Linked DNA regions of Danio rerio. The protein of the gene in region 3 interacts with the protein of the main gene of each other region in a pairwise test. Links are inferred from orthologs where the notes say so. Each region holds a gene or a part of one and is shown on either strand. Other genes may lie near its edges.

What was found.
Region 1: the proteins of psma3 (region 3) and znf366 interact in binary tests that used the Homo sapiens proteins (3 or more experiments, as listed by UniProt). The link is inferred for Danio rerio from reciprocal best matches to the Homo sapiens genes PSMA3 and ZNF366.
Region 2: the proteins of psma3 (region 3) and fbxo7 interact in binary tests that used the Homo sapiens proteins (3 or more experiments, as listed by UniProt). The two-hybrid records come from large-scale screens. The link is inferred for Danio rerio from reciprocal best matches to the Homo sapiens genes PSMA3 and FBXO7.
Region 4: the proteins of psma3 (region 3) and znf385c interact in a two-hybrid assay, tested with the Homo sapiens proteins (2 studies listed by BioGRID). The two-hybrid records come from large-scale screens. The link is inferred for Danio rerio from reciprocal best matches to the Homo sapiens genes PSMA3 and ZNF385C.
Region 5: the proteins of psma3 (region 3) and dmc1 interact in binary tests that used the Homo sapiens proteins (3 or more experiments, as listed by UniProt). The two-hybrid records come from large-scale screens. The link is inferred for Danio rerio from reciprocal best matches to the Homo sapiens genes PSMA3 and DMC1.

Annotation. Positions count from the first base shown.
Region 1 is NC_133183.1:1,327,009-1,333,627, forward strand, and holds the start of znf366 (zinc finger protein 366), read right to left. Parts: upstream 4,587-6,619; 5' UTR 4,554-4,586; intron 1-4,553. UniProt on the Homo sapiens protein: Has transcriptional repression activity. Acts as a corepressor of ESR1; the function seems to involve CTBP1 and histone deacetylases.
Region 2 is NC_133179.1:946,743-952,784, forward strand, and holds part of fbxo7 (F-box only protein 7), read left to right. Parts: intron 1-2,448; coding exon 2,449-2,766; intron 2,767-2,868; coding exon 2,869-3,013; intron 3,014-3,397; coding exon 3,398-3,481; intron 3,482-3,617; coding exon 3,618-3,713; intron 3,714-3,825; coding exon 3,826-4,002; intron 4,003-6,042. UniProt on the Homo sapiens protein: Substrate recognition component of a SCF (SKP1-CUL1-F-box protein) E3 ubiquitin-protein ligase complex which mediates the ubiquitination and subsequent proteasomal degradation of target proteins and plays a role in several biological processes such as cell cycle, cell proliferation, or maintenance of chromosome stability.
Region 3 is NC_133192.1:12,630,000-12,636,041, reverse strand, and holds part of psma3 (proteasome subunit alpha type-3), read left to right. Parts: intron 1-3,074; coding exon 3,075-3,198; intron 3,199-4,201; coding exon 4,202-4,303; intron 4,304-6,042. UniProt on the Homo sapiens protein: Component of the 20S core proteasome complex involved in the proteolytic degradation of most intracellular proteins. This complex plays numerous essential roles within the cell by associating with different regulatory particles.
Region 4 is NC_133178.1:16,523,293-16,529,808, forward strand, and holds the start of znf385c (zinc finger protein 385C), read left to right. Parts: upstream 1-2,934; 5' UTR 2,935-3,187; coding exon 3,188-3,197; intron 3,198-4,696; exon of another isoform or gene 4,697-4,936; intron 4,937-6,516.
Region 5 is NC_133187.1:21,019,449-21,026,129, forward strand, and holds the start of dmc1 (meiotic recombination protein DMC1/LIM15 homolog), read left to right. Parts: upstream 1-2,783; 5' UTR 2,784-2,983; intron 2,984-3,092; 5' UTR 3,093-3,200; intron 3,201-3,439; 5' UTR 3,440-3,440; coding exon 3,441-3,497; intron 3,498-4,206; coding exon 4,207-4,251; intron 4,252-4,327; coding exon 4,328-4,474; intron 4,475-4,582; coding exon 4,583-4,665; intron 4,666-4,982; coding exon 4,983-5,035; intron 5,036-5,150; coding exon 5,151-5,192; intron 5,193-5,283; coding exon 5,284-5,356; intron 5,357-5,464; coding exon 5,465-5,556; intron 5,557-5,693; coding exon 5,694-5,767; intron 5,768-6,681. UniProt on the Homo sapiens protein: Participates in meiotic recombination, specifically in homologous strand assimilation, which is required for the resolution of meiotic double-strand breaks.

The DNA.
Region 1 (6,619 bases), on a different chromosome or scaffold from region 3:
CAATGCAGTCTGATTTATGGCAGAGTTTGCAAATCACATATTTAATATACAGTTCAAGGTTGGATTTCACAACTAAAAATAACTAATTTACTCATTTCTAATAGCTGATTTTTTAAGATATTTGCCATGATGACAGCACATAATATTAGGCAAGGCAAACTTTATTTATAGAGCACAATGAGATAAAACATTTAATAAAATAAAATAAATAAAACTTGTATTAAAAAGTGTAAGAAAAGAATATATGTATGTGTATATGTAATAATAAAATACAGATGGAGAAATTACATGTATGAGTCACTCAAAGGCAAGGCAGTAAAATATGTCTTTAAGTTAGATGTAAAAGTATCCAAGGATGGAGAAATCCTGATGTTTATCGGTAGACTGTTTCAGAGACTTGGGGCCGCAACACAGAAAGCTCGATCTCCTTTTGATTTGCAGCGAGACCGAGGGATCAACAAAAGAAACTGATCATGGAACTTTAATGGTCTACAACAGGGCTGCTCAATCCTGTTCCTGGAGAGCCACCTTCCTGCAGATTTCAGTTGCTAACCATATCAAACACACCTGCCTGTAATTATCACATGGTGTTCAGGTCCTAATTAATTGGTTCAGGTGTGTTTGATACGGGTAGCAGCTGAAATCTGCAGGAAGGTAGATCTCCAGGAACAGGATTGAGCAGCCCTGGTCTACAAGCTGTATATGGCCTAACAAGCTCGCTGACATAAACCGGGGCAGAATTGTGCAAAGCTTTATATGCAAAAAGAAGGATTTTAAAATCAACTCTGAATTTTATAGGAAGCCAGTGTAAGGAGGCGAGGACAAGGGGGATATGATCTCTTTTCTTAGTTCCTGTTATCAATCTGGCGGCTGCATTCTGGACCAACTGAAGCCGAGAGAGTGTTGACTGAGGTAGACCAATGTACAAGGAGTTGCAGTAGTCCAACTGAGAGGAGATTAAAGCATGGGTCACAGTTTCCAGATCTTTGTTAGACTAGATAAATTAGTATTTAGCTTAAAGTGACATTTAAAGGCTTATCTAGGGTAAATTAGGGTGAAGTTTGGGTAATTAGGCAAGTCATTGTATAACAGTGGTTTGTTCTGGAGACAATCCAACACTAATATTGCTGAAGGGGGCTAATAATATTGACCTTAAAATGGGTAATATATATATATATATATATATATATATATATATATATATATATATATATATATATATATATATATATATATATATATATATATATATATATATATATATATATATATAACCTGCTTTTATTACAGCTATTCTAAAAGATGAGACTTTACCCAGCATCAAAATTTTTTTAAAGGAAATACTGTGTATTGTATAGTTTCCTGGGTCTGTTAAACATAAAGAAAAGAATAAAAATTTCACAGGAGGGTGAATAATTTTGCCTTCAGCTGTTCATGCATCCAAATATTGCTTGGCTTTACATGAAATCTGCATCTTTTATCAATGCAAACATGACGTGATGTGCAAATCGCATAGTGATTTACGAGCATGTGAATTACCTGTTGAATGCTGGTGTTTCTGTCAGATGTAAAGCAGCAGCTGATTGTTGAGTTAGTTTTCTTTGCTCTGAGCTGGATGAGTTTTTTTCTGGCCATAATATACACAAAAAATGTATATATAGTTAAAGTAAGAATTATTAGCCATCCTGTTTAATTTTTTAAATAACTTAATTTTTAATTAACGCAGGGACACATTTCTAATCATGCTAGTGTTAATAACTCATCTCTAATAACTGATTTATTTTCTCTTTGTCATGATGACAGCAAATAATGTTAGACTGGATATTCTTCAAGACACTTCTATACAGCTTAAAGTGGCATGTAAAGGCTTCACTAGGGTAATTAGGGTAAAGTTAGGGTAATTAGGCAAGTCATTGTATAACAGTGGTTTGTTCTGGAGACAATCCAACACTAATATTGCTGAAGGGGGTTAATAATATTGACCATAAAATGCTTTTTAAAAATCAGGGTCCCCACACTTTTTGAATGTACTTGAATTCCAAATGTACGGATTCAAGGCATGTAACAAACGCAAAAACAAACACAGGTTTTTTAATTTGGCAGAATTACAATTGAAATAAAATAGGTTTTTGGTGTTATTTGAACAATTATACTGTGCTGCTGTCAAAAACAGAATTAAAAAAAGTAAAATTAATCATTAATAATTTCATTTAAAGGTTAATTAATTAGCATTCATTTATTTTCTTTTCGGCGTAGTCACTTTACTAATCAGGTATTGCCACTGCAGAATGAACCACCAACTTATCCAGCATATGTTTTACACAGTGAATGTCCTTCCAGCTGCAACCCATCAATGGGACACACCCATACACACTATTTCACACACACACACACACACTACGGCCAATTTAGTTCACCCAATTCCCCTATAGCGCATGTGTTTGGACTGTGGGGGAAACTGGAGCACCCGGAGGAAACCCACAACAACACGGGGAGAACATGCAAACTCCACACAGAAACACCAACTGACCCAGCCGGAAATCAAACCAGCGACCTTCTTGTTGTAAGGCAACATTTAAATGTTACATTATACATTTAAATCTTGTACAACAACACTAACAAATAATGCGCATTTGATAAATATTTCAGAAACCGCATTGAATACTACATGTTTTATTAAAGTTCTTTCAACATGACTTTAAATTGGCACAGTGTTTAAAAATGACTAAGAAGAGTCTAAATTACTAGTAAGGACCTTCATGGCACTGCGTATGCTGGGGTATGAGTTACAGAGGTGCTTGATATTATAATTAACGGCGCTTTAAAAAGTCCTTAAAACTGCTGTTTACCAAAGAGACGAAACAAATAATACTACGAAAATTTCCTTAATCCAGTTAATATCATTAATTCATTTTCTTTTCGGCTTAGTCCCATAAACCGCCAACTTATCCAGCATGTGTTTTACGCAGTGGATGCCCTTCCAGCCGCAACCCAACACTGGGAAACACCCATACACACTCATTCACACTTATACACTATGGCCAATTTAGCTCATCAATTCCCCTATAGCGCATGTGGTGAAATCCGGAGCACCCGGAGGAAACCCACACCAACACAGGCAGAACATGCAAACTCCACACAGAAACACCAACTGACCCAGCCGAGGCTCGAACCAGCGACCTTCTTGCTGTGAGGCGATTGTGCTACCCACTGCGCCACCGTGACGCCCTGGTAAATATCGCTTGAGAAAAATCCTTTTGCCCTCCACTGTATATATATTATGGCCATAAAAAAAATTCCAGTTTGGAACAGAGAAAACTAACTCATCTGACAGAAACACCAGCATTGAACAGGTAATTCACATGCTCGTAAATCACTATGCGGTTTGCACATCACGTCATGTTTGCATTGATAAAAGATGCAGATTTCATGTAAAGCCAAGCAATGTTTGGATGCATGAACAGCTGAAGGCAGAATTATTCGCCCTCCTGTAAGATTGTTATTCAGTTTAAATGATGTTTGAAATAAAAAAAATGTTTGGATTGCATTTCTTAACTCCTAATGTTGTAGTTAACACACTCAATGCACATCCCATAATTTCTAAAATATCAGCCTCTACCTAATGGTAGATATGCCAGTTTATAGTACTTAATATATATGAAAAATCATAAAATATAAAGTGCAATATGATATAATGTTCAAAATAAAACATTTGTGAGTACTAAATCCTCTTAAAGTATGCCATAAAATATTTCAGATTCTCAATGAACATGTTTTCTTGCTTCTTCTTTCACAATAAAACCAAAATCGAGTGTAGTGGTGCAACAGGACTATGTTTGTTTGATTTTTTTGTGTGTAAACCAACAATGCTGTGTGTGTCATTATTTAAAACAGCCATTACTGAAATTAATTAAAACAGCCAGAACACGCTCAGCTGCTTGGTAGAGAGGCAGTCAAAGGGTTAACAGACCAAGCAAATGTTCACAATATTTCCTATAATATAGTGTTTTCCTCTGGAGAAAGTGTGCTTTCTTTTAGTTCGGCTGAAATAAAAGCAGTTAGATGATTTTAATATAATTTTAGGGAAATAATTGTAACCCTCTTTAGTAATATATACTTTGCTTGTCTGCAGAACAAACCACTGTTGCACAATAACTACCCTAATGAACATAATTAACCTAGTTAAGCCTTTAAATGTCTCTTTAAATCTTAATACTAGAATCTTGAAGAATATCTAGTCAAATATTGTGCTGTCATCATGATGAAAACAAAAGAAATTAGTAAGAAATCAATTAGTAATCCATATGTTGGCAAAATCTCTCCATCAAACAACCATTAAATTAAATTTATCTCCAATCAATTTATTTTAAATATATTTATATACAACATTTTTTAAAAGAATTCAAATTTCATATGAGAACTGTTCACATTTTGAAGTCATATAACTGTCTTTGCATGTGATATGTAATGCTCTGAGCAGATCATATGCAGATTTGCATGTGTGCATTGGTAATTGCAGTGTGCATGTGTGTGTGTGTGTGTGTGTGTCTTACCTGTCGTCTCCTGCTCGTCTCTCCTCTCTCTACGCGCCTCCAGCTTCACACTCCGCATTTGAAGTGACTTAAGAAAGAGAACAGGAACAATCACTTTGTTCTCATTTTTCAGATGAGTACCTTCGCAGAGAAGGAAGGAAGGGAGGGAGAGGAAGTCAACAAGCCTGTGCTTTCCTGACCCAAAATAAGGAAACACTAGATACACATCTCCATTCCTCTTCGAAACACTGAAGCTGACGCTGGAGAGACCAGATCAGACACTGAACGTATGATTTCTGATGATGACCTTTGACCTTTACTCATAACTAGGCCCAGATGGAATCTGAGCGCGTGCAGAAATCTGAAATCAACTCTAAATCTGTTTATTTACTTATGAAAATGTGTGTAAATAATTACAGACGTGGACTAAATTGTTTTCTTGTGTTTTATCTAGTTCAAAATATCAACAAATTCTTAAATCAAGAGGCATTTTCTGGACAAGTAAAAAATATTGCCTTGTTTTCAGAAATAAAGAGTCAAAATTAAGTGAGTTTTTCTAAACAATATGTGTATATATTAGCGCTGTCAAAATTAGTGCAATTAATTTTAAATAATTAACGTGTTAAAAAAATTTACGCCTTTAACGCAGTTCCAGGGTTTTTTTTTTACTTCCTGTTGTGGTGGACGTGAGTTTAACATGCAAGAAATGTGGATAAGACCAAGGAAGCACTTTTTGAAGGCAAGTTCCAGTATAAAACAATTAGTTGCATCACAGGTTATCCAGAGTTTCATGCAATTTCGGGTGTTTCATTTTTAACTTTCGACTTGGCGACAGAAAGAAAATCCACCGCATTTCGTGACTCGGTGTTTCTTTAAGGAAATAAAATCGCTGCTTAGGCTCAGGGCCGGAGCAAGCTGAACTGCCGCTCTAGGCAGAGGACGATCACGCCGCCCTCAACCCCAATGTGAAAACGAAAGTGACCGGTAATGAAAATGAAGTGAGGTGTCGCGGCCCTCTATTCCAGCGCACTATGCACAGATATAACTGAGGACGCGCGGGTGCTGAGGGAGGGAGTGAGGGAGGTGTCGCAGACACTGCGCTCTCAATTCTGCCGCCCTATGCGCGGATATAAATGAGGACATGCAGGTGCTGATGGAGGTGTCGCTTACGCCGGCTTCTCTATTCTGTCGTCTATGCGCGAATATATCTGAGGGGGGAGGTGTCGCGGACATAACTGAGGACGCAGGTGGTAAGGGAGGTGTCGCGGATGCCGCCCTCTCTATACTGCCGCTCTAGGCGGCCGCCTAGGTCGCCTCTATGGATGCGCCGGCCCTGCTTAGGCTACACGGTAGAATTTTCATAAGAGTATAATCTTAATCATATTAAAATCGGAGTATTGGTGTCGTATGTGAATGTACTCAGAAAGTCTCTGGTGAAGTCGCGAGCTGTCAAAGACAGGGCATTACTCTGCCTTTCAGCATGAGCCCTCCAAGTTTTGCGTGTTTCCTCATTAGACGCAATGAAAGCGTATGCGTCGCGATGTTGTGTCAGAATCCTTGTGAAATACAGTAATACTTAAGGACGCTTAGTTTAAGCAAATTTGATGAACGTGATCATGCGTGTTGAGTCTGAAGGGAGTCGCTCCAGCGCGTTGTGTGTGTGTCTGTGTGTGTGTGTCAGGCTCGTTGAGGGGTGTCAGGGGTGGAGTGAGCGGCGTATCTGAGTAGGGGCGTGTGCACGAGAGACGTACCTGAAGGAAGGTGGGGGTGAGTTGCGCGTGACAGCTGAAGAGCTAGGAGGGATGGGGGGGAGAGGGATGGGCAATGTATATAACGACCGGTTTGCGGTTGTTGCTAGAGCGGATACGTTTGCGGCCGGAAGTTAACGCAAATTATTTCTATTATTTATTAAATTTCTCATTTGTTGTATTTTATTAACGTATACCCCCACCCCAACCCTAAACCCAACCGTCACAGTAATGTAAAAACTGTAGTTGTACCGAGTATTAGTTATGTTATCTATTAAGTTACCCAATAAAATAATTTTTTTAACGCCTACCCCCACCCCAACCCTAAACCCAACCCTC
Region 2 (6,042 bases), on a different chromosome or scaffold from region 3:
CATTCTCTTTAGTTCCTCCTCCTGGTTTACTTTTTAATCAATAACCAGCCTATTTCTCTACTTTTTAATATTGTGCTGGCAGCTTTCAGTTTACTAACACCTTTTGTGATCTGTAAACGTTTTCCTTTTCTACATAACCTCTGAAGTCTTTAATATTGAAAGCTGTTTAAGTTTCTTTGGCTTTTTTAGGCAAGTGAATTACCACCAGTTAAAGATTATTCCATCATAATATATTAAGGTTGTTTTACTTGGAGGCAGGCACCCCTAGTCCTCTTGAGATTTGGGTGACTCTGTTACTGTTAACAACGTTCTTGTTGCTTTTAACTGCTTTAGTTTTAGACTCTTTCTTTGAGTTTCTCTTGTCTATGATTTCTAGTCTCTGTTCTGGGGTCAGTTTTGCCCATTCCTCTTTAGAGACAGAGTCATTCTCTCCAGATTTTTGTTTGAAATCCGTTTATTTGTATTTACTTTTATTCTTCCTTGTGACCTGAGGCTTTTGGCTCTGGTGTTTTATATTCAGCTATTAGTCTTTGCAGTTTTTCAGTAATTATCTTTTTTTTTCTTTCTCATCTAATGGCAAAGTTCATTTCCCCCATGATGTTTGCGGCCCTAAAAGTTTTAGTCTGATAATCCAGGCACTAAATCTGTCACCTCTTGAACTTCCCTTATCTGTGCATACACTGAATTCAGTCTCCCGTCTGTCTAAGCAGTATGGGTAAACTCCTATTTATTTTATTGTTTCAGCCCTTTCCGCCCCTCATCTTGAAGGGCTTTACCTAGTATTGTCCCTAGCTGCAGCCTTATCTTCTTCTTGGTATGATCATTGCCTTAATTCGTCATCAGCTTTGTACAGTTCACCTATTCTGATCATTCGTGAGTTTTGTCTGTAACCGATGCCCCTGGGGAGAATGTTGTTTATGTTAACAGGTACGGAGCCCTGTTGCTTAACTCACTGACCCCCTGAGATTATCTTATTTTTGTACTCATCCCCAGCATCACTTATTTACGGACTGAGTGCTCCTCTTCAGCACAGCAGTTAGTTTCAGAGCTTGGCTCACTGGAGACTCATTCGGCAGCGGGGTCTCATGTTTCTTTTTTGCCTTTGTTATCTTCTGCTGTCCTCTTACCTCTGGTGAGCTTTCTCTAGCAAAATAATGTCCTTATTTTCCCTAGTTTTGGGTCTTGTTTGCTTGATGAATCTTCATCCATTAATCCTGGCCAAGTCATTCCACTGATCATCGCTTGTAATCCTTCTGCCAAATCACAGATCATATCTAGTTTGGCCTTCTGATTTATATCAGTTCATTTTTATTTTTCGTCTGCTGTACAAGATGAAGCTAGATATGTCATATCAGCATTCTCTTTGTTTCTGCCCTCCACCTTCTTTAGGTGAACTTTGAACCCAGGTGGGACAGTGGCATCCCCAGAACATCTTAGGATTTGCCAGAAGAGGCCATGCTGAATCTTGGGGTGGCACACACACAAAAAATCAGTGTAATGTTGTATTTATGTTTCTGGTAAATGAAATAATGTGGTTTTAATTCATTTTAATTAATTATTCTTGAAATATTGCAATTTATTTCTTGAAATAATTCAGCAAGTACATGCACAAACCAAATAAAAGTCAATATTTATATATATATAAAACTTTTCAGTTATTTTTTACAGTCTTTTATTGTACAGTATATGCCATGTCTAAAATTAATGAATAATTTAATAAAACAAACAAATGATGAACAAACTGAACAAAAGACATTACTACATACACACACACCCACTATACAGATTAATAATATCATTTATCCATATTCCTTTTTGAGCCACAATATTATTAATACAGCTTCCTCTATTGATGTACCTTAAGTTAAATATGAAATTGCCATTGCTGACTATTGAAGGTGTGTGCGGGCTGTCAATGAAGATCGAGAGGGGGAATAGCAGTGAATCTGCTACGCCAGTGGCACCAATCAATCCACAATAATTTAGTGGCTGCTATTTATTTATTTATTTATTTATCTATTTAAGTACTTTAATAATGTCAACAGCAAAATCATATTGTGTTTACACTGTGGTGGCTGTGGTGGTGCCCCTGAGGTGGGAGACGATTTCTTTGAGTCCCTGTGTAGCATTTTGTGTACAGAGTGGCCTACGAACTCTAAGTGAGTGTTGAAGTTGGCTTCTGCTGATGAAACTACAAACTATCTTCAGCAAACTTTCTTTTTAACTGAATCTCTAACTCCGGTTCTTCTTCATCAGACAGACTTTTCATTTTTGGGTTAAAACTGTTGGTTCCCCTTATAATTCTGAAACTGCACTGCTGGGGTTATCTTACAAGCCATGAAAATAAAAACAAAAAGACAAACGGACTGAAGCCATGACTTGGCGTGTGTGTGTGTGTGTGTGTGTGTGTGTGTGTGTGTGTGTGTGTGTGTGTGTGTATGTGTTCAGGCTGGTGGATCACATGTCAGCAGTAGCAGCAGTGTGATGGAGCAGCATGTGCAGGAGTGTGTGGATCAGGATCTGCTGGAGCGTGTGGATCAGCAGCAGGAGTGTGTGGATCTTCAGCAGGACTGTATGGATCAGCAGCAGCAGCAGCAGGAGTGTGTGTGTGCTGCGGCTCCTCCCCTGCTCTGCTGTGAGGCTGAAGACGGTCTCCTCCCTCTCGCTCTGGAGCGGCTGCTAGACTCCTCCACCTGCAGAAGCCCCTCCGACTGCCTAATGCTGGCGCTACACCTGCTGCTGCTGGAGACCGGCTTCATCCCACAGGTGATATCCACTTCACCTGGGCTATGTTCTTTCTATCCTAAAGGGAAAGTTCACCCAAGAATGAAAATGTCCTCTGTATTTACTCTCTCCTTCTCGCTTCAGGGCGGAGCCGTGAGCTCAGGGGAGATGCCGATTGGCTGGCAGGCCGCAGGGGGTGTGTTTAGAATCCAGTATGTCCACCCTCTGCTGGAGAACAGCCTGGTGTCGGTGGTGGCCGTGCCCATGGTTCAAACTCTGGTCATAAATGGTAATATACACCGTATGTAACACTGATATGTTCAATTTAAGTGTATTTGTAAAGTGTTTTTTACTATTATTATCATTCCAAAGCAGCTTTACAAAGGGTGCACATCATTACATGACAGTCGACATTAGAACAGTGAAGTGACTTAGTTTTTACAGCTAAGATTTCTTTTATTTAATGTTTTTTATCCTGTAAAAATGCTTTTCCTAGATTTTGTTGTCTCGTTTCTAGTCCAGAGATGTCGAAATTCTTAAATCAAGAAGCATTTTCTAGACAAGCCAAAAATATAGTGGTGTTTTCTGAAGTAATGAGTGAAAATTTCTTTAAAACAAGCAGAATAATCTGCCGATGGGGGAATAAAACAATCTTGTTTTTGCTTTTGATCAGCCGTCCTGAAGATGGAGACGAGTTTGGAGAATTCCCGCAAACTGCTGCTCAAACCTGACGAGTATGTGACAGCTGAGTGGACAGGTGAAGCTCACACACACACACACACACACACACACACACACACACACACACACACACACACACACACACACGCATTAATCATCTGTAAAAGCACAGCAGGATTATGGACTGAATGACCTGCCATGTGTGTGTGCAGGCGGCAGCTCAGGTGTGGTCTACAGAGATCTGCGCAGACTCTCTCGCCTGGTCAGAGATCAGCTGGTGTATCCGCTCATGGCCACTGCCAGACAGGGTGAGTGTGTGTTTACTGTTCACACGTGTGTGTCAGAGTGCTTTGTGTGCATGTACTGTTCACACGGGTTTGTCAAAGTGTTTAATAAATGTCTTTGTGCATGTGTGTATAGCTCTGGGTCTGCCTCTGCTCTTCGGTCTGCCTGTTCTTCCTCCTGAGCTGCTGCTGCGTTTGCTGCGTCTGCTGGACGTTCGATCTCTCGTCTCGCTGTCGGCTGTGTGTCGGCACCTGAACACCGCCACCCATGATGCTTCACTCTGGAGACACCTGCTGCACAGAGACTTTAGGGGTAAATGCGCAAATATACACTTTAGGATGCACGATATGTCTGTGGCCATATCAATATCGGCTGACAAATGCTAGTTTTTTTTAAAGGTTTAGTTCATGCAAAAATTGTAATCAATCATTATATACTCTCCCTCGAGTGTTTCCTAACCTTTGACTTTCTTTACTCTGTTGAACACGAAAGAAAATATTTAGGAGAATGCTGAAAACCTGTTACCATTGATTTGTGTAGGAGGATAAACAAATGCTGCGTCCTAATTCGCATACTAAAACAGTATTTAAAAAAATAATTAGTGTATATAGTGAATATTAAAGATCAATAATAATGTTTATTAATATTCTGAATTAACTTATAGTTAATTTGACTAAATAAATATAACAATGATTTTGCCCGCTCGTCTGAGCAGACTGTAATTATTTATTTATTTAGAAAGGGAATTATAAGTATTTGTCAGGGCCGGATTGGCCAATCAGGAGGACCGGGAGAGTTTCCGGTGGGCCGGTCCGTTTTTTGGCCGCGAGGGCTGGTGTTTCTAGCTGCTTGCACTCTCAGCAGTTGCACTTTTTTTTTCATTTATATATTTATTGAACAAAGCCTCACTCTTTTTATTCATTATTTTGCCGCAGCTCCGGTTATTTATTGTCTCACAGCCCCATGAGCAAAATGCAGCCTGCATGTAATGATGATGTAATTATTATTCCGGCTAAATTATTATTATTATTTTTTTTTTTTTTTTTTTTTTTTTTTTCATTTTTATTGTTGAGACATATCAAACTGTACGGTTGTTGAACATTTAAAGTTCTAAAGCAGCTGTTTTCTTGAAAAAGACATGATAGCATAATTAGAAACTGAATTGGAAATGACCTTATATTAATATAGTCAGTCGTGAACTGAGGTGGGCCGGTCTGCTTGAAACTCCAGGGCTGAAAAGGAGTCCCACTCCAGCCCTGCTACATGTGATGTAGATGAATAGTTTAGACGTTTTGGTAAACTGTAAACTTGTTTTAGTAAAGCTTGTAGCAAACGCTCTGTCGTTAAATTGACCTTTTCTGTGAGGCAAAACAAAGACAACATGGTTATAGCCTGATTTATTGACTAGTCTAACATATCAAAACAAACGTACAAAACATAACAACAAAAACATATAAAAGAAGCAAGCGAGCAAATAAAGAGTTTAGATAAAAGAATGGCAAATCTAGTTCAGTTCCACACAACTGTTAAAGACTCCTAAACCCTTCTGCTCCAATGTCTGGGAGAAAATGGGTTTTAACTATGGGTCAAGTCACACCTATTTTCTACTGAGTGACCAGTGGTTTCAGGGCAAGGATTTGAGCGTTTGACCGTTGATATGCATAATGAGGGTCGTCCCTGAGCATACAGCTGGACCTTACCTCTGAGCATTAAAGAATGCAAGCTGTAAAAGTTATTGTCATATGGTTGTAAAATAGCAGGAGAAACGTAATGCTACTAAACACGACACTCTAAACGCACATCAGATAGCATCTAGGCATTTCTATACTATATAAGATCAAAAGGGACTTCATTAACGCATGCATATACTATTTTAATTACTTTAGCTTTAGGGCAGAGCATATAGATTACAAACACACATTACATTTCTTTTGGAGTGAGTTTTTGAGTTCTAATCGTTCTTTCAGTTGTGTGTGTCTTTGGGTGGGTGTGTGTGTGTGTGTGGGGTGTTGGAACAGTTGCAGGTTTTCCTTTGGAATGTCTTGGCTTGCAAAGATGCACCAAAGGGACACAAGTTTCTCCCTTCTCCCCATCTGTAATATAGATTAAACAGCAGCAATGGGTCCCCAGTTTCCCTTATGCATCCCAGGTTAAACGAGGTGTCATGCACAGCGACCTTTGTCTCTAGACTTTCTGGAGCCTTTAATCATGAATCTCTCACCGATAAGAAATATGGTATTTAGGGGTAATCCAGTTCTTCAACTGTGACCCATATGCAACAGTAGCATGTGCAAAAGTGTATGCCGACGGTTCCTTGTGGTTGTACTATTTCAAGTAGAAATTTGAAGTGTA
Region 3 (6,042 bases):
AATTTGCAAAGAATACTTTTTTGAAATGATATTATTAAAGAGAAAAGCTGAATGTGTGAATAAAAATACCAACTTTACCTCAACTAATTTTCATCTCAGTGTTGTATATGTATATCGCGCGACTTACTCACTCCTACACTCCGAGTCCGAGGTATCACTCAAACATGTCAGTTAATTGGACAAGTTCACAAACAAACACATTGCATTATTATCTCAAACTTTAGACAAGAGCATTAGACACTAGCAAAACACATTCTCTCAGACTAGCCCTCGCAAGAGAGTGTCCTTATAGGGACCCACAGAAAGAATAAGAGCGAGAAGGAAAGAGATAGAGAGAGAGATCGCCATAGCAGTTTGGGCTCGGCTTTTAAACGCTACACCAACCAGCGATTGGTAGCGCAAACCCAGCATCAGCGGCCAATTTCATCAGCACGAAATGCGGATCCTCCAATGTCGTTCGTACCTGTAACACACGCATGAAACGACCCACCCACATACAAACAAACGCACACACCTATCCAAAATACGTTCTGCAAGCGAACGTAACACTGATTCTAAATAGGGAAATATATTAGCAGCCAACAACTATCAAAGTACAACATTGTTGGCAGTCGATTAAACCATATTTATGAAATAAAGTCATACTTTCATTAGGGTTGTGCAATGTCGACCAGTTTGGCATCGTATGGTGTCTAATGTGATACAATGCGGTGGACGATGGCATTGTTGTCGTAGGCGGCGGTGAATTAGTTATTTGTGAATAATTATATTATTCATAATTAATTAATTATTTGTTGCCTACCGTTTCAACTACCTGGGGTCCGTTCTTCGTACGTGGATTACTCAGTTAGCTGGATTTGGATATTGACGATTTGACACGATCCAGGATCGTTTCGTTCTTCAAAGCTGATCCGAGAGTTGTTGTCATAGCAACAGTTCTGCTAGGTCAAACCTGATCGGGAGCAGGTTCAATTCATATAAACAGGATTAGATCGGCTCAGTTCAAGCAAAGATAATACAGAAAGTATGTTCCGAATTCTAATATTTTCTTACAGTAGTAGTTATATACACTTGGGAAAATGGTACATATTTTTTTAACTATATATATATATATATATATATATATATATATATATATATATATATATATATATATATATATATATATATATATATAAAGTTATAGTCATTAATAAAATAAATAAAGTTATACATATTAATAAAACTTATGCAATCTGCACCATCGAAATGAAAGTACAGACTGTCACCTTGTGGTGCAAAGAGAAAACTTATTGATATGAACTTTTTAGATCGCTTTAGTACAAATTGTGTATAATAGAAATGCAGAATATGTGACTTATTTTAAAGCAATAATACATTTATGCTGTCATAAACATTTTTTGATAGTTAATAGTGATTTGAAGCTTCACAAAAGTTGCAGACGCCTTTACCAATATCAAAATGCTTTTGTAAACAACCAGTTATTCTTTACGCCGATTAAAAAACGGCTACAATAATATAGACAATATTTTCTAAATTTAGAACTAAATACACTGATATGCACTGAAATACATGATGAATACTCTTGACACAAGAAAGTGTAAAGCCTGCAGCTCACAACAAATGTGGAAGGTTATTGCGTGTCATATTTAACAAACCGTTTCTGCTAATTTGACGTAATTTTGCTCACATGGATAATTGAATATTAATCAGATGATGTCATTACGCAGCTGTGCCGTCAGCCAATCGTTGCATTGCTGATCATGATTTCGAGGATCGATAGATCTGTCCTTCACAACACAAGCAGCGATCTCAGATCAGTTTATCCAGACATTCTAATCTGATTCGCGAACTTGTTTGAAGAACCAAATTAGCGAGAGATCAGTTATCAAGATTAAAAGATCCCGGATCTGTCAAATCATCTTAGATCATTTAAGCGAGGTACGAAGAACGGACCCCTGACCTGCATGGTCTTTGTTTTACCCATAACCAAATCATAAATAAATAAAGGTAATGTACACGCAAATTACCAACTGTCAATCGCTTTTTCCGTGGGACTCTGGCATGAATAGGCGTATAATCTTTATAATGGCGTCGACAAACTTGGTTGGTAAAAAGGTGCACAACCAACAGTAGCTAAAACTACTAAGTACAAGCGTGAAAGCAAAAGATTAAAGGAGTGTACTGATGCCGTGACACATTACCTGATGGATTCAAAACACAGAAGAGTCGTTAGATAGGGACAAGCTGAATTAAATATCACGTTTAACAACTAAAGTGAGACGCGATCCAGCGGTACATCCTTGATAAACTGTCCAACGTGCACTGCTCTTTAGGGTTTTGTGCTCAAAGCTTGATGAGCATTTTCAGCGGTATAGTGTGGTAGGAGAGCTTTTTAGAAATGCTAGCTGAAACGCCAATATGGATGTGGATAGTTTTCATTATAAAATGGCATTTTAAAACTAGGACGTATTAGTGTAAACGGGGCTGTGTCGGTCATCGGCGATGGACAATGGCATCGTCTATCTATTCAAATGTCTGAGTATTCAAAGTAGTGTGGTAAACAATATATTAGGAATCGTGTCATGTTCTCACTCTTTAAAAATGTACAAATGTGCGAAATGTAAAACCTTACCCTCAATAAAATCCTTGGTCTATTCTACGCAAGCTATGATGACTTTCACCTTGATATTTTAGCACGGATGTATGCCTGTATCTGCTGGCAGCAGCATGTCTGTGATGTACGTCATCACACAAGTGACATGATCACGGTCTTCACGGCTGAGCTCTAAAAGTCATTCAGTGAAAAATGATACAATGTATAAGATCTTAAATATAAAAAAAAATATATATATATATGCAAATTCTTTATAGAAATACTGGAAATGGGTTTAAAAATCATATCACTGTTATTAAAAAAAAAAAATCTATCGCGATATATATTGATATCAAATTATTGTCCAGCCCTACCTTTACCTTCAGCAGAATTCAAGTAGGCCATTTTAATCTAAATGAATTCCGAGATTAATCTAGATTAAAAAAAGTTTAAAACAATTGTCATTTTGTTTCTTCAGCACGGCGATTGGCATTCGCTGCAAAGATGGAGTGGTGTTTGGTGTAGAGAAGTTGGTACTGTCCAAGCTGTATGAGGAAGGCTCCAATAAGCGCATTTTCAATATTGATCGGCACGTTGGAATGGTAAGAACATCGAACAAGTTGTTTCTTTCTCCGTTCAGTACAATTGTAAAATTTAACAGTCTACTTTGGATGCATCTAAGGTTTTATATAGATCATTTTATTATTACTCCCTTATTTTTTGTATTATTTAATGAGCCAACACGGGTCTTCTGTAGTGTCTTTCTTTCAAAAACCTTCTCAAACTTTTAATAGCATTTTTTTTAATCAGATCTTGAATAATAATTTTGATCTTTTTGCATTTTACACTTCCATTATTAATTTTTGAAGGGTGTGTGTTGGTTGTAGGGCTGCACGATATTGAAAAAAAAACATACTTATTACATTTATATTGCAATTTTTCTCAATATAACTTAAACATTTGATCGGGGTGATTTTGTAGGGGAGTGCATGAAACAATCAATAAATTATAAGCAGAGATAAATAGAGCAAATACAGAAATAAAGCAGTCAAAGGTGTACAGATACAGACATACAAAAATCAAATGTACAATAAAGCTGTATAAAACCATAAATTGTGCGGCTGTGGTGTCAAGAGCTGTATTCATTACTACCGTGTTACTGTTATTATTTTAAATGGATTGATTTTGCCATAAAAATAGATGTTGATATGTCAAGATGGAATAACCAATAATGGAATAACTTTTTTTTTCTGTTTTAATATTTAAAAAGTGTAGTTATTTTTTAATTTTTATAAGTTACATTTTATAAGCATTATTAATTGTCTTCAATCAAATAATTCTTCTGTTACATTCTAATATCCTTATTAGCTGCTCAAGAAATATTTCACATCATTATGCATAGTATTGTTTTCACAAATTTTTATTTAATAGATTTAATTTATTTAATGCATATTTTATTTTATGGAATTCAAAAGAACAGCAAAAGCTTTCAAAAAAGTTTTGTAACATGCATTATTACTTAATAAAAAATTCTTTATAAAAAAGCCAGCATTTGAACTGTAGTGTAAAACTACATATATTAATTTCTGTCTATGTGTGTTGTAGGCTGTGGCTGGTCTTCTAGCAGATGCACGATCTCTCTCAGAAGTGGCCAGAGAAGAGGCTTCAAGCTTTCGCTCCAACTATGGCCATGACATCCCACTGAAGGTAAGAGAGATTAAAGCAATAGATAACCCCACAAAACGGTTCACCATCTAGTTACTGTTAAACATTTCTAAAAAAAACCTCAGTCATCACCAGTAGTCCATATGAATGAATGAATAAATTAATTAATTAATAATAAAAAAACATATTCAATTGAGTTTATCTTTAATTTTTAAACACTTTTTACAATTCAAATTGTGTCAAAGCAGCTTAACGTGGATGAAGAAAAGAGAGCAAAGGACATATTATTTCAGACTGTGAAAGATTCTAGAATGTTGGTGTTGTTTTAGTTGAATTGAAACAGTTTCAATTCAGTTTAGTATAAATGTCACTGTTGAAGTTCAGATCAGTGCAAATGCCAGAGGGGACAGTAGCAAGAAACCAAAGTTCACCAATGGGTGGATGTGAAGAAAATCAAAACCTCAGGAGAAATCAGGCTCAGTTGGTCATGGATAGGGGCCTGTACCATAAAGCTGAGTTAGCCAGTTAAATTTCAGTTTGGTTTGCACCAATTTTGGTATTAAGGAAACATAAAGGCAGCTTGACTTTATCTAGTCTTTGTTGTCATGGTATTATGGAGCTGTTGAGCTGCCTTCATGGTACCTAAAACCCAAGATTTGCACAAACTAATGACCTGTTTCTACTGAGTGGTACAGTACGGGTCACAGTTAATAGGCTTGCATTTCCACTGCCAAAAGGGTAGCAAAAGCACTTCTCACAAAACAGATGCTTTATAGACATAAATACTTGTGTATAAATGTTCATTACTAACCTTTCTATGAACATGATACGATTATAACTGCAGATCAATAATAGGGTGAAATACTGTAACGTCTGCAATTATATAAAATAAATAAATACAACATGTATATGAACGCATACAGACCCTTACAGTCTCAGATATGTGACCAATTACAGAAAAACTACACACAGCAGACATTTAGTCCTTAATTGGGTAAAAAAAAAAAAAACACGCAACATGTAGCCCAGAGTCAGTGCAAACCTCTCGTCTGCATCTTTATTCTTCCCCAGCACATGTAACGTCTGTTACAGATTAATTCCATCATTCCGAGTTCATAATAGTCCAAAAGGTGATGATAATAGTTAAACATGGCAGTGTTCATCTTTTAGGTCGCTGAAAATGATCATTCGCTCCTTTATTTTTTCCGGCTTCTCCTTTGTTTTTTCGCACATCAGTCTCGCATTTGCCAGTTTCTGAAAGGATCGGATGTCTGAAGCACTTCAATAATCATGCGCACGTTATTATCATCAGCTCAAGAAGTTTGCTATTTCAAATATAGATGCGCAGCTCGTGCTTTAGACGGCCTTGTAAACAACTATGGTGGACAGGGTCGATTCTGCTCTTCCTCTTGGCTTTGTGGTTGTTCATAAAGACAATAGCCCCTTTCACACAGTGATACCGGTAAATATCCGGAAAATTTCCGGAACGACTTTACCGGTATATTCAAAAAAGCGCTGTTCACACAGACGAGGACATTACGGAAATTTTCCGGAAAAGAGCATTCACACATCCATTCCAAAATACCGGTAAATTCTGACATCATTCACCACAAGTGAGCTTTAAACGGCTGCGCTTGTATTTGTAAACATTTGACTAAATTACATACTCTGTGGATGATCAATATTGTGAACAACTTTCACAGGATCACTTTCGCATGTCGAGATGTTCATAATATCTGCGTGTGCAGGCTCTCATATGCGCACGCAAAGCTTGAAGGTAA
Region 4 (6,516 bases), on a different chromosome or scaffold from region 3:
AAAACCACTTCTAGTTGATCATTTGATATCAGAAGTGGCTTGTATAAAAGGCAAAGGCCTCTAGATAATGCCTAATTTACCAAAATAAAATATGATCATGCCTTGACTTTTCATTATTTAAATAGGACAGTAAGGTCTGACTTTGCTTAGATAAGTGTTGTCACTTAACAGAAATAATGTACAGTATAGAATATAAAGTCATGGTGCAGAGGAAAAAAGAATGAATATTGTGCATGACTCCCATGAGCTTGGAGGACTGCATCCATACATCTCTGCACTGACTGGAATGGCAAAGAAAGTGTTCTTGCAGGACTCCTAGAGTTCATCAAGACTTTTTAAATTCATTTTCAATGCCTCCTCCTTCATCTTACCCCAGACATGCTCAATAATGTTCATGTCTGGTGACTGGGCTGACCAATCCTGGAGCACCTTGACCTTTTTTGCTTTTTAGGAACTTTGAGGCGGAGGCTGATAACACATAAAATTAAGTTAAACATTAAATTTTGATCAATCTTATCACAAGTACACTTCCTGACAATAGTCTTGTGGATGATCCCAGTTGTAAGAGCAACAAATCAGAAATCGACTTCCAGTTGATCAAATGGAAAAGTGGCAGAAGGTAGATTTTTTAGAAGAATCGTCTGTTGAACTGCATCCCAATCATCACAAATACTGCAGAAGGCCAATTAGGACCTGCCTGGACCCAACATTCTTACAGAAATCAGTCAAGTTTGGTGAAGGAAAAATCATGGTTTGGGGTTCAGTATGGGGCGTGCGAGAGATCTGCAGAGTGGATGGCAACATCAACAACCTGATGTATCAAGACATTTGTGCTGCCCATTACATTACAAATCACAGGAGAGGGCAAATTCTTCAGCATGATAGTGCTCCTCATGCTTCAGTCTCCACATTAAAGTTTCTAAAAGCAAAGGTCAAGGTGCTCCAGGATTGGCCAGCCCGTTCACCAGACATGAACTTTATTTAGCATGTCTGGGGTAAGATGCATGATCATATTTTAGTTTGGTAAAATTGTCTTTCATTTAAGCCACTTCTGATACCAAATGATCAACTAACTCAAGTTATTATTTGCTGTTCCTAAAACTTGGGTAAGCGACGAGACTTTTTGTCAGGTAGTGTATGTTCAGTCCACTTAAAGTTTTCAAAACTAATAAGTTAGCCTTGTTCCTTCATGTTATACCAAAACAAATTGATTATGTGGAACCCAGCATTTTTTACAGTGAGTATAGTGAAATGTCTCAGCAGCTTCTGGTTCACAAGGATTTTATCATTAGTGATATTACCTGATCATTAGTGATTTATAAATTGCAAGTCAGCAGCAATAATCAATTTAAAAGTCAAAACCCCACATATACAGGCAAAACCAAATTAAGGTCTGTGGATCATGAAGTGAAATGAAACTTTATTAGATTTACAATTACTACATTAAATCTACATCCACATGCAGCAAGTTATTATTCCTCTTGATCTACATTTTATGACTGATCAACACTTAAAATACTTCTTTCACCAGCATGGACAATGCCCCACTTTAAGCTAGACTTTATTGTATAGGGATGAAAGGGATGGTAAGGGAACAGCGGGGAAAAAGGGGATAAACAGTGAACAGGTAGGTAGGTTGATCGGGCGTCCTAAGATGATGCCCAGAGACTTAGAGTGGGGGTAACATCTCTGTAATATTTTTGAGTGATGGGACACCCCTGTTAAACCTAGGAGTGAAGAGAGGGTTATAGGATTGTTAATGGGAAGTGAGGAAATAAAGGGGGTAGAGGGGGTTTGAGAGAATGAGAAGAACAGTGCTCAAGAGCTGGTCTGCCTTAATTAAGTTTTTAGGGAGTAGATGATTGATAATTTTTTGTTTAACAAGGTAACTCCATTTAATGTTCTATAAAAGTTTCCTACACTCAAAAAAAAAATGCTGCTTGTTCAAGCTACTTATTTAAAATGAACTGAAACAACACAATTTTGGAGATTTTTGGTGTAGAAGAACTCATTTGTTTTATGTTCAATCAACTTAAATTAGTTATGTTGATTTAATGCATTTGTGTTTGGCAACATGAATGAATTGTGTGGAACCCTGGATTTTTTAATGTGTGCATATTGGAGCAAATTGACAACTAAGTACGTTTTTGGTGGACTGTGACTTATAAATAAATAAATAAATAAATAAACATATATATATATATATATATATATATATATATATATATATATATATATATATATATATATATATATATATATATATATCGGACATTTAAAACGACAGTGGTGCACGCAATATTATCCTTAATTCAGGGTTGTCCAAACTCAGTCCTGGAGGGCCGGTGTCCTGCTTAGCTCTAACACACCTGCCAGGAAGTTTCTAGTATATTTAGTAAGAGCTTGATTAGCTAATTTAGGTGTGTTTGATTACGGTTGGAGCTGAACTTTCGAGGCCACCGGCCCTCCGAGACCGAGTTTGGACAACACTTCGACGCAACAAAGTAGTAATCTTTCTTGATTTGAACACACTAATTATCTGTTTACAGAGCTGTAATGCACAGTAGCACTTGATATTTATTAATTAAAACATTTTTTCTTCAACATATTCTTCAATTTCACAATCCCAGTTAATATTCTCCAGCTAAATTATCTAGAATGTTTGGAGCTGGAAGAAACACACACCCCCAGTCACAGACGCGCGCAGAATTATTTAGCCGAAATCAAGGACCATGAAAGGAGAAAATAGCACCAGCTAATTTCCCCATCTGTGCCGTTCGTTCAGGTTAAGCGGCAGGCAGCAAAAAGAGCGAGCGGGAGAGGAGGTGGTGGTGGCGAAGGGGGAGTATATGGGGGGTAAAAGACTGTCGCTCATACACTCTTTCTCTCTCCATCCTCCTCCTCCTCTTCCCCGTCGGGCGCGCGCAGATCAGCGGAGCAGTGCGCGCGTCACTTGCGAGCGTCTGTAACGATCCCTCCGACACATCAACTCCAGGAGCCGAAACAAGAGTGAGAGACTCATCGAAGAGTGAGAAATCTGAGAGGAAAAGACATATATCGAGCTGTCGGAGAGTATTTAACCATTTTGATTGTGCTGATTTCTCGTTTCCTTTTTTTTTTTTTTTTTTTTGGTTGGTTGGTTTCTCTTTTTTGGGGGGAAACAAGGATAAGCCTACCTTTTCACAACATGCTGATCGGTAAGTCAGTTCAGATAGTGATGTTATTGTATTTGATATATTGTAATAAACAATGTAAATGTGGTAACGTTTGATTTGCGGTAAAAGGATGCCAAAAGTCATCTGCGCACTGAGCGCCGACACGCGCACAGCTTTTCAGTCGAGGTGCTCACTGGTGTTGCTTAATCGATCCAAAATGAGACCGAAAACAACCTAAACTTTCCAAGTAATGCAAGTCAGACGGTGTAGATTTTTCCAGAAGCCAGAAAAGCCAGAAGTGTATGTGTGTGTGTGATGCGCGTGCGACTGTCATCATCATGCGCGTGCCATCAAACGGCCTTCACCGTGTCAGCCGGTTAACTAGAATGACGTGTGGTCCAGTTAACACCTGTGAAAGCCTTATCCCAAATTTGTAAGTCCACAATGAGAGATAGTTTTAATTTTTTTAAACTCATATCCCCGGGTTAATCAGTAGCAGGTGCCGTGATCCTCAAAACACAAGCCTTTTTTTCCTGCGTTGAATTCTGTATAGTGCAAAAGACCGATACAGAGAGAGAGAGAAAAAGAGAGAGAGAATATGAGAGGATGAGAGATGGTGAAGGGAATGGTGTATTTTTGCTGATCTCTCATTATACGGCCGAGCGCATTGGAATGACATTTAAAAAAAAACTTTCGTGCCCTCTCTCTATCTCTTTCTCTCTCGCTTGCCCGGTTATCACCAGAGAAAGACAGTTGTTTAAATCAGCACAGGAATTCATGATTCCTTAAAGCTGAATGAAAACATGTGCAATTTTATTGTAGGCATTTTATGAACAAAGAAAAATAATAATAATACCCATTTGTGCCCCGCATCTGTTTTAAATCATATCAAAACATTAATCAGCACTTGCTTTTTTTATTCACGCCGAAAAAAAATGTTTTTGTTTTCAACAATAATTTATTTTTTTAAAGTCCCGCTTTTTAAAGGACGTCCAGTCTCTGAGAGCACCTGGTGTTCCTCACAAGAGCTAAAAAGCAGCGGAGCGGAAAATTAAAAATGATAAAGGATTGATCCTGTCCGCGCTGAAAATGCTTTATCAATAACGCAGCTCATTTAATAAAATCGTTTGAATTTTCTCTTTCTTTTTTAGCTCGTGAATTTCGTTAGAAATCGAAGCATTTTGTTTATGCATTTCATAAACTGCGCCTTTGCCGTTTGCGTTGCCCTTGTGTCCTAATTTAATTGATGCTTTGTATATGTGATATTTAAAAATATAGCTTCAATTATTTGTATCACATACGTCATTTTTAGCTTTGCTTCTATTTGTATCAGTGCGTTCCAATTAATCTCTTTATGATGTCACTTTCCTATATATTAACACAGGCTGCATTATAGAACATTTATTCTAATCATAATTTCACATTTTACAAACCATCTGATTTTAGCCTGTTCATAAATATACTCTAGACAATATAAAAGGAAGCAGTGAAGATTTAAGTGTCCTTCTCACCTCCTTGCTATCAACTTCTCTTATTATTAGCTGGATACCAATGCTCTGTCCGCTTAGCAACACAAGACAAAAGGACACACAGATGTTACACATCTACACAAAGTTACACTGAAACCGCAAAGCTGTTTAAATAAAGACGTGCAGAATAAACCCAAGGAAATGGAGGAAAGGACAAAAAGAGAAGGGGAAAATAGAGGATTCTGCAGCATAAAATGGCACCAGCGTTCACTCACAGTTAGTCTCAAAATCTGGACATTTACTCGATCACTAGTAAGTGTGCATGTTTGTATGTTAATAATCCATCAACCTAATGTGAATTACCTGCTAATGTGAACCTGAAAAGCTCAGTTATGAGGACAAAGGTCATGTCCTTGACATTCTTTGGCACAGATTTTACCCAACCAAAAAATAAATTACTTTGAATATCACTAACATGACTGGATTGCAATTTACATCAGTGCATTTGGACACTCTTAAGTGGAGTTTGTGGTCTTTGTTACACATCCAAGTGCGTTGCATAAATCAGCAGCTAATTAAAATCTAAGCTTCTGTCCAGAACATTTCTGGTCTGTAATTATGGAGGGGTCTGAATGTCAGTTTGTTCTGCTCTGTTAGCCGAAGTCACACCGTGATCATTGGGTTATATTTTTCTTTTTGATTTTGGGCTGTGTTTTCTCACCCCCCTCTCACTGGTTTCAGTTGTCGTGGCAGCGCTGCAGACGGTGTGTGCTTGTAAGTGTGGGGAATGCGGTAATGCCATCCTTTAAGCGAATGCTCTTTGCCAGCCGCATTTCACCACAGCACTCTCTAGGAAAAGCTTACTGAAAAACACCCTGCAGACAGACATTTTATTCATCATCATCAGTATTATTATCATTATTGTTATCATAAAACATTTGCAATGAAAAAATGGTAGGAATTTAAAAATAGTCTCTGGTTATGAGGAGAATATGTTAAGTAAACAGTTAATGATACAAATGTTATAACTAATAATTGTGGTGCACCTAAAAGAGATTATTTCTAATGATCATGAAGTGTTGCAATTAGTTGATATTGAATGTGATTTTTTTTTTACAAATATTTTACAACTAAAATAAAGAATTATTTTTATTACAAACAAAAGGTTTAACTCTTTGCAAAATCATTTCTGAATTGATGTGTCTAAAAGTATTTAATATGAAAAACAATGTTAAATTAGCAATTAAATGTTTTAGTAATTACATAATTCATATTATCTATTAATATTATGCAATTAGTTAATATTGAATGTGATAAAAATTATTTTACAACTAATAATAAATATTATTTTTATTGCAAATAAAAAGTTTAATTCTGTTTGCAAATTTATTTTGTAATTGATGTCTAAAAGGGTTAAATGTGAAAAGCAATATAAATAAGCCATTCAATTTATTATTAGTTGCATAATATTATGTATTATTAATATATGTACTATTATGTATTAATTTATGCATATATTCCATTAATAATGCATGTTTATTTTATATTAACTACTTTCACAATATTGTTTTTCTAAAAAATGCATTATCAAAATGTAAGAATTAAAACTTTATATTTGCTGTTTTTATTAAGCATTATTATTATTATTATTATTATTATTATTATTATTATTATTATTATTATTATTATTATTATTATAATAATAATTATTATTATTATTATTATTATTATTTAATAAACCATTACATTTTTTATTAATCATGACTATTGTAGTAATTTGTCCATTATTACTCCTAATATTGAATGTTAAAATTTTGTTTAATATTGAATGTGTTTTTTTAGTCTACAGTGACCTCTATCCAAATATATATTATGTATTTGATTAATACAAT
Region 5 (6,681 bases), on a different chromosome or scaffold from region 3:
TTTATGAGGGCACACAAGGCCGATGTTGATTGTGAAATTTTCTCGTCTGCAGATTACGGTTGTTTCTTGTTTATGATTCAGAAATGTTTAAACTTTCAGAAGATATTCACTACCAACAGTGTCTTTTACATGTATAACATGCATGTAAAGCTTCTGCAATGTTATTCCTCAGACAAAAGCCATACAGTGTGCAGAACCATTGTGAAATGTTTGAGAAAAAACTACATTCAGTAGTCAGTGATCCATTTTTCTCCACATTACAGGAATAAAAACCAGTCCTTCTCCATTGTTGTCTTTTCTCTGTAATTTACATTGCATAGTGACTAAACTGTATTATTTACACTGGTGAAACATGTCTCACTAAGTAATGTAAGATGAAACATTTCAAGGCAGACCCTCCATTATTGCTTTGATCCAAAAAGCAGATTTGACTTCAGTCTAACATAAAAATATTTGCAACTAAAATCGTATAAAAATTCAGAACGATTAGATTATTAACTAAAGACATATTTATTTTTGTTAATTGAAGTAAGCTAAAAAGATGCCAGAACGTAATAGAAAGCGTACTTTAACAACTGCAATTAAGAGGGCACCTATGGTGCAAAATCAACATTTGGATGCTGTTTGGGCATAACTCTGTGTAGGTATAGTGTGTTCACGTTCACATCAGAGTGATATAAATGCAACAAGATATTTTTTTTTCTGACTTTAAAATAGGAACGTGACATAGGAATGTGGTTTTACCAAACCACCGAATTGACTGACAGTAGCACATTAACATGTCTCCATAGTAGTGCTTATAAACATGTTCACAGAACAGGATTTGCAGAGAAACTGTGATTAAAAGATCTGTTTCAACTCTGTGATCAACTGCACCTCAAGAATGAGTTTAACAAGTTTAAAACATTTTCAAAACAGTGCATGTTTAAAATAAAGAACAGAAAGGAAAACGTAATTCATATCTACTAGATTCACAATAGCTGCACGATGACAGTACAACTATATATAAGGGTGCTTTAAACACAACAGGAGTTCTGGTTTGTGGATGTTAAATCTGATTTATCATGTACAGTAATGGCTAACTTACATTTGCTGCCCATGCAAAAACAGTTAAATGTGCATGTATGTGTGTGTACTGCAAACTGAATCAGAATTTGTGTGTGACTCATCAAATGACCAAATATCTCTGTTTCTGTGACTGACTGCTGATAACCTGATGTGATGCAGCAGGAGTTGCAGACATGCGGGAACGGTGCAAAAAGAACCTGCTGATATGTGCAATATGCAGTAGTAGCCTAAGTATTGCAAACTACAGTTAAAGTCAGAAATTCCCTAAATATTTCCCAAATGATGTTTAACAGAGCAAAGAAATTTTCACAGTAGGTCTGATAGCATTTCTTTCTTCTGTAAAAAGTCTTATTTGTTTTATTTTGGCTAGAATAAAAACAGTTTTAGGGTTTAGTAATTAAAACCATAAGGTCAAAAGTATTAGCCCCTTTAAGCTATATTTTTTTCTAGTCTACAGATCAAACCATCATTATAAAATAACTTTCCTAATTACCCTAACCTGTCTAGTTAACCTAATTAACCTAGTTAAGCCTTTAGAAGTGTCCTGAAAATATTTAGTCAAATAATATTTACTGCCATCATGGCAAAGATAAAATAAATCAGTTATTAGAAATGAATTATTAAAACTATTATGTTTAGAAATCTGCTGAAAGAATCTTCTCTATATTAAACAAATTGGGGGAAAAATAACCAGGGGGTCTTTTAATTCAGGGGGTTTAATAAATACTTCAACTGTACATATTTGTCTTAATATTTTGTTTAAAATTTATTTATGAAGTAAATAAATTTCAGTTCTTGTTGTTTGAGTTTCCCAAAACCTTTTTTGAGTCCTTTGCCACCAAATATATACATTTCGAATAAATATTTTTTTAAGACTCACAAATAAAAAAGCTTTTGTTGCATTCAAAATAGTTTATCCAGCTGACATTTTCTTAGTCATTTTTCTTAAAAAAAAATTTTACAGTATAACAATTAATTATAAATTATTCCAATCTTTATATAAAGCTGTGCGGCACTGCAAAGCACTGTGGGTTTGTAGTAGTGGATTGGTTTGTGCTGGAAGGAGACCTCAAGCTGCAGCAACCTGATTCATCCTGTGGAGATCCAGTGGGGAAGAAGGAAGTGGACAAAATTAAGGTGGAGGACAAGAAGGAAGAAAGAGGAGGACGAGATGGAGGATACAATAATTGAGAAGGAGTAGGTGGAAGATAAGATTAAGAAGGAGAAGAAGATTAAAAAGAAAATGAATGGAGGGAAAGGGAGAAGAAAAAAGGGGGAAGATAGAGAAGGCAATGATAGAAAAGGAGGAGGTGGATGACAAGATTAAGTAGGAGGAGAAGATTAAAGAGAAGAATGATTGAAGGAGAGGGTGAAGGAAAAAGATGAAGAGAAGATGGAGGAGAATGATGGAGAAGGAGGAAGTGGATGGCGATTAACGAGGAGAAGATTAAAGACAAGAATGATTGAAGGACAGAAAAGGAAAAAAGAAGAGACGATGGATAAGGAGGAGGTGGATGACAAGATTAAGGAGGAGGAGAAGTTTAAATAGAAAAAGGATTGAAGGAAAGGGAGAAGGAAAAAAGAGGAAGAGGAGATGGAGAAGGATGGAACACAATGAGAAAACAATAAAAATATATTTATTCAACAATGTACTTTATTGTGTCTGGTGTTGTGATTATTTCCTCTTTATGTATAATTTAAGTGCTAAAAAATACACACATGCTGCAAAGCTGAAGTATTCGTCATCATACCTTTATTTAATTTTCATGCTTATAGTTGTGTTTGTTTAATTATCACCTACCTTTGAAATAAAATCTTTCCTAAACAAGTTTCAAATTAAAATGTAACATTTTATCTGTAACAATAAACCTAAAAAATTAGTTTGTATGTTTTTGGTCAATTTTTGTCATTAAAGGTAAAACAGAGATATTTTAACAATTTAACAACAACAGTGTAAAAAGCAGTTTAAAACGACATTTATTTATTTATTTATTTATTTATTTATTATACATTTTTTTATGTAGCAAGCTTGCTTGGGCGCGGGACTGATGCGCGTGCACGCCGAGCCAAAGTGTCAACATACGATTGTGGCGCGAAATTTCTTTCAGCTTCTTCTCAGGAATAAACGACAGGTAAAATGTAATTTCTGTTCTAAAAAAAATTAAAAATAATTAATTAACAACGTTATGACAAGGAACAAGACACATTTTTTTATCACAGCGCTTCAACAAAACGTACATGTAAATTAGCCGGTTTAGCCGCAAGTTTTAAATGATTTATGGTAAACTTGTTACCAAATTACGTGGTTAATAGCATGCCAAATCACAGGTATTTTATTATAACTTAAACGTTCTTTTTGTCTCATTCAAAGTATGAAAGTTTTGGAGGAACAAACTTTGGAAGAGGAGTCGGGATACCAAGATGATGAGGTGATTTACATTCATTTTCAGGCAGCCACAGCCCATTCAATCGTGCAAAAACATGCTTTTTTATTTAACCGTGTTAGGTCTTGTGTTTATAAAAAATATAACATCATAATGGTGCATAAAGCAAAACACTCATGTCAAAACCATAAAATACAACTGTACAGTAAAGTGGTGTACAGTTCTAACACAGCCTAAACATTAAATGGAATAGTCGTTATTAATACATATTAGAGGTATCTCTTTTTTTACTTCATAATTCAGAAAAAGACTGTAACCAGTAACAACAATAAAGTATTGTAGAATAAAATACTGTTTATAATCAGGCTAATTATGAGCACATCGATCTGTTAAAACCTTCAGATTAAAGATATGAATAAAACTAAAGTTGGTTAAAATGAATGCTGCTAAAGTGGAGATTTATGGCACAGTACAGAAGAGGAAAACTCATTTTGATTGACAATATTGAAATTGAAATCCACTGCCCAATGAAAAAAAAATGTGTGATAAAAGAAACACTCACATTGTATTTTGGCTGTTATCTTTACATAAGACTGATAAACACTTTATGAAAACCCCAAATTCTCAAAACTGACAAGCACATGATTTTTTAACCTACAGTTTCTCAACTTAAATCTGAAAATCCCCACTTGTTTTTTATTTATTTGTTGTTTCTATGTAATGTGATGAACATTTGCTATCAAATCTCTTCCAGGAATCCTTTTTTCAAGACATTGAGCTCTTGCAGAAGCATGGCATTGTAAGTAAAATGTTGTTATTATGAAGTTATGAAATGATCATGAAAGTGGTTCTCACCCATAATGATCTTTCTGAAGAACGTGGCCGACATAAAGAAACTGAAGTCTGTAGGGATTTGTACGGTGAAAGGCATCCAGATGACCACACGCCGTGCTCTCTGTAACATAAAGGGACTTTCTGAAGCTAAAGTGGACAAAATTAAAGAAGCCGCTGGAAAGTTGCTGGTAATTTGATGTGTTGGTTGACATGATTTATATATTTTTTGCTGTATTTTGTAACTACTCATCGATCAAGGAGGTTGTAAATGTAATATGTTCTGTTCATTCATGCAGACATGCGGATTCCAGACAGCATCTGAATACTGCATCAAGAGAAAGCAAGTGTTTCACATCACAACTGGCAGTTTGGAGTTTGAGTAAGAAGCTTTATAGGTCTTACATTTTTAGACACCAAATTTTATTTGTGGCTAGAATTTGTTTTTGTGTGGTGAACTGAACAATTTAAGTATAATCTACAAAACTGGCAAGGTAAATAAACTGAAATATGTAAGTTTTGGAGGACTCATTTACTCCAATAAACTGAGGCAAAGAGTTTACTTTATTCATTTAGTTCAGTCAACTTATTAAGGTTTTCAGTGTACAAGCAGTAACATGTTGTTTTATATATGTTTTCCGATGAAAGTCTTACATTGTTGACATGAAAGGAGAAACGGTTTATTCATATTTACTTTAGCAAACTCCTTGGAGGAGGTGTGGAGAGTATGGCCATCACCGAGGCTTTTGGTGGTAGGGTGATGTTTTGATTTGAAACCATAATGATATGTTAGGCATTTTCCGTACATCACTTCTGCCAAAATGATATGTTTTTGTCTTTGTGAATTGTTTCCCATGCCTCATTTAGAATTCAGAACTGGAAAGACTCAGCTCTCACATACTCTGTGTGGTAAGAATGAATCTTGTGTAAATGTTAAATGCGGAATTTAATTCTCATTTTTAGACCATTCACATCATTTTGTTTTCTTTTTTCCCTTCAGTTACTGCTCAGCTTCCTGGGGAATTTGGGTACACAGGAGGAAAGGTCATCTTCATTGATACCGAAAACACCTTGTATCATTTGTGCATTTGCTTGCTGTGTGTGAGTGATTCATTTTACTAAATCCATTTCATATGGAGAAGTCATTCTGAACTTTTTACCTTAATAATTGTGAACATCAGTCGGCCTGAGAGGCTGAAGGACATCGCTGACAGATTCAATGTGGATCATGAAGCTGTTCTGGACAATGTGCTTTATGCACGTGCGTATACCAGTAAGAATAGCTGCTACTTCTTTGTTTAGTTTTTGTGTGTCATTTTACTTGAGAATCTATTTGGCTAGACAAAGAGGAGCCACAAAATGTGTGTTGTGTGTTTTGTTACAAATCTGTCTCTATTTTTAATTTTTGAGGTGAGCATCAGATGGAACTGCTAGATTTTGTTGCAGCCAAGTTTCATGAAGAAGGTGGTGTCTTCAAGCTTTTGGTGAGTCTGGTAAGAGATGGAAGAATGTGTAAATCTTCTGAGGTAACTTTTTAGGTAGAGCTTTTACTTAAAGTTTATTAAACATTTATTATAGTTAAGTGTAAAAAAGCTAAAAGAGCTGTTTTTGGATTAATGAAACTGATTGTATTTTTAAAATTGTTAGTTGGTACACATAAATTGCTCACCTGGAATATAGATTCCTGAAAATTCCATTTAACACACAAATTATTGAGAAGTTTCATGAATGGCAGCTATTGTTCGTTTGTAAAAAAATAATTCAAGCTGGTCAATTATTACAGTTTTACCTCTTGCAAAACTTAAACAAATTTGTCACAAATAGTAGTTTATAGCATTTATGGTAATGAGAATTTACTTTTCTATGTAAGCTGTTGACCAGTCACAGCAGAGTGCACTTTCTGGCAAATCAGAGCAGATAACACAGTGTTTAGAGACTGAATCCTTTAATAAATTGTTGTGGACTGTGAGAAAAAAGGTGATGCTGCATGTATAATTGAAGGTGAAATTATTAAATTATTAGTCCTGTAAAATACATACACACATACACACACACACACACACACACTCACCGGCCACTTAAAACCTTACTAGTACCAGGTTGGACCCCCTTTTGCCCTCAGAATTGCCTTGATCTTTTGTGGTATAGATTCAACATGATACTGGAAATATTCCTCAGACTATATACAAATAAATACTCAGACCAGCCCATCTGGCACTAACATCCATGCTACATTCAGTCACTAAAAGTACCCTTCTTCCCCATTCTGATGCTCTGTTTGAACTGCAGCAGATCGTCTTGACCATGCCTACATGCTTAAATGCATTGAGTTGCTGACAGGTGATTGGCTGATTAGAAATTTGCATTAATGAGCAGTTGGGAGGTGTACCTAATATAT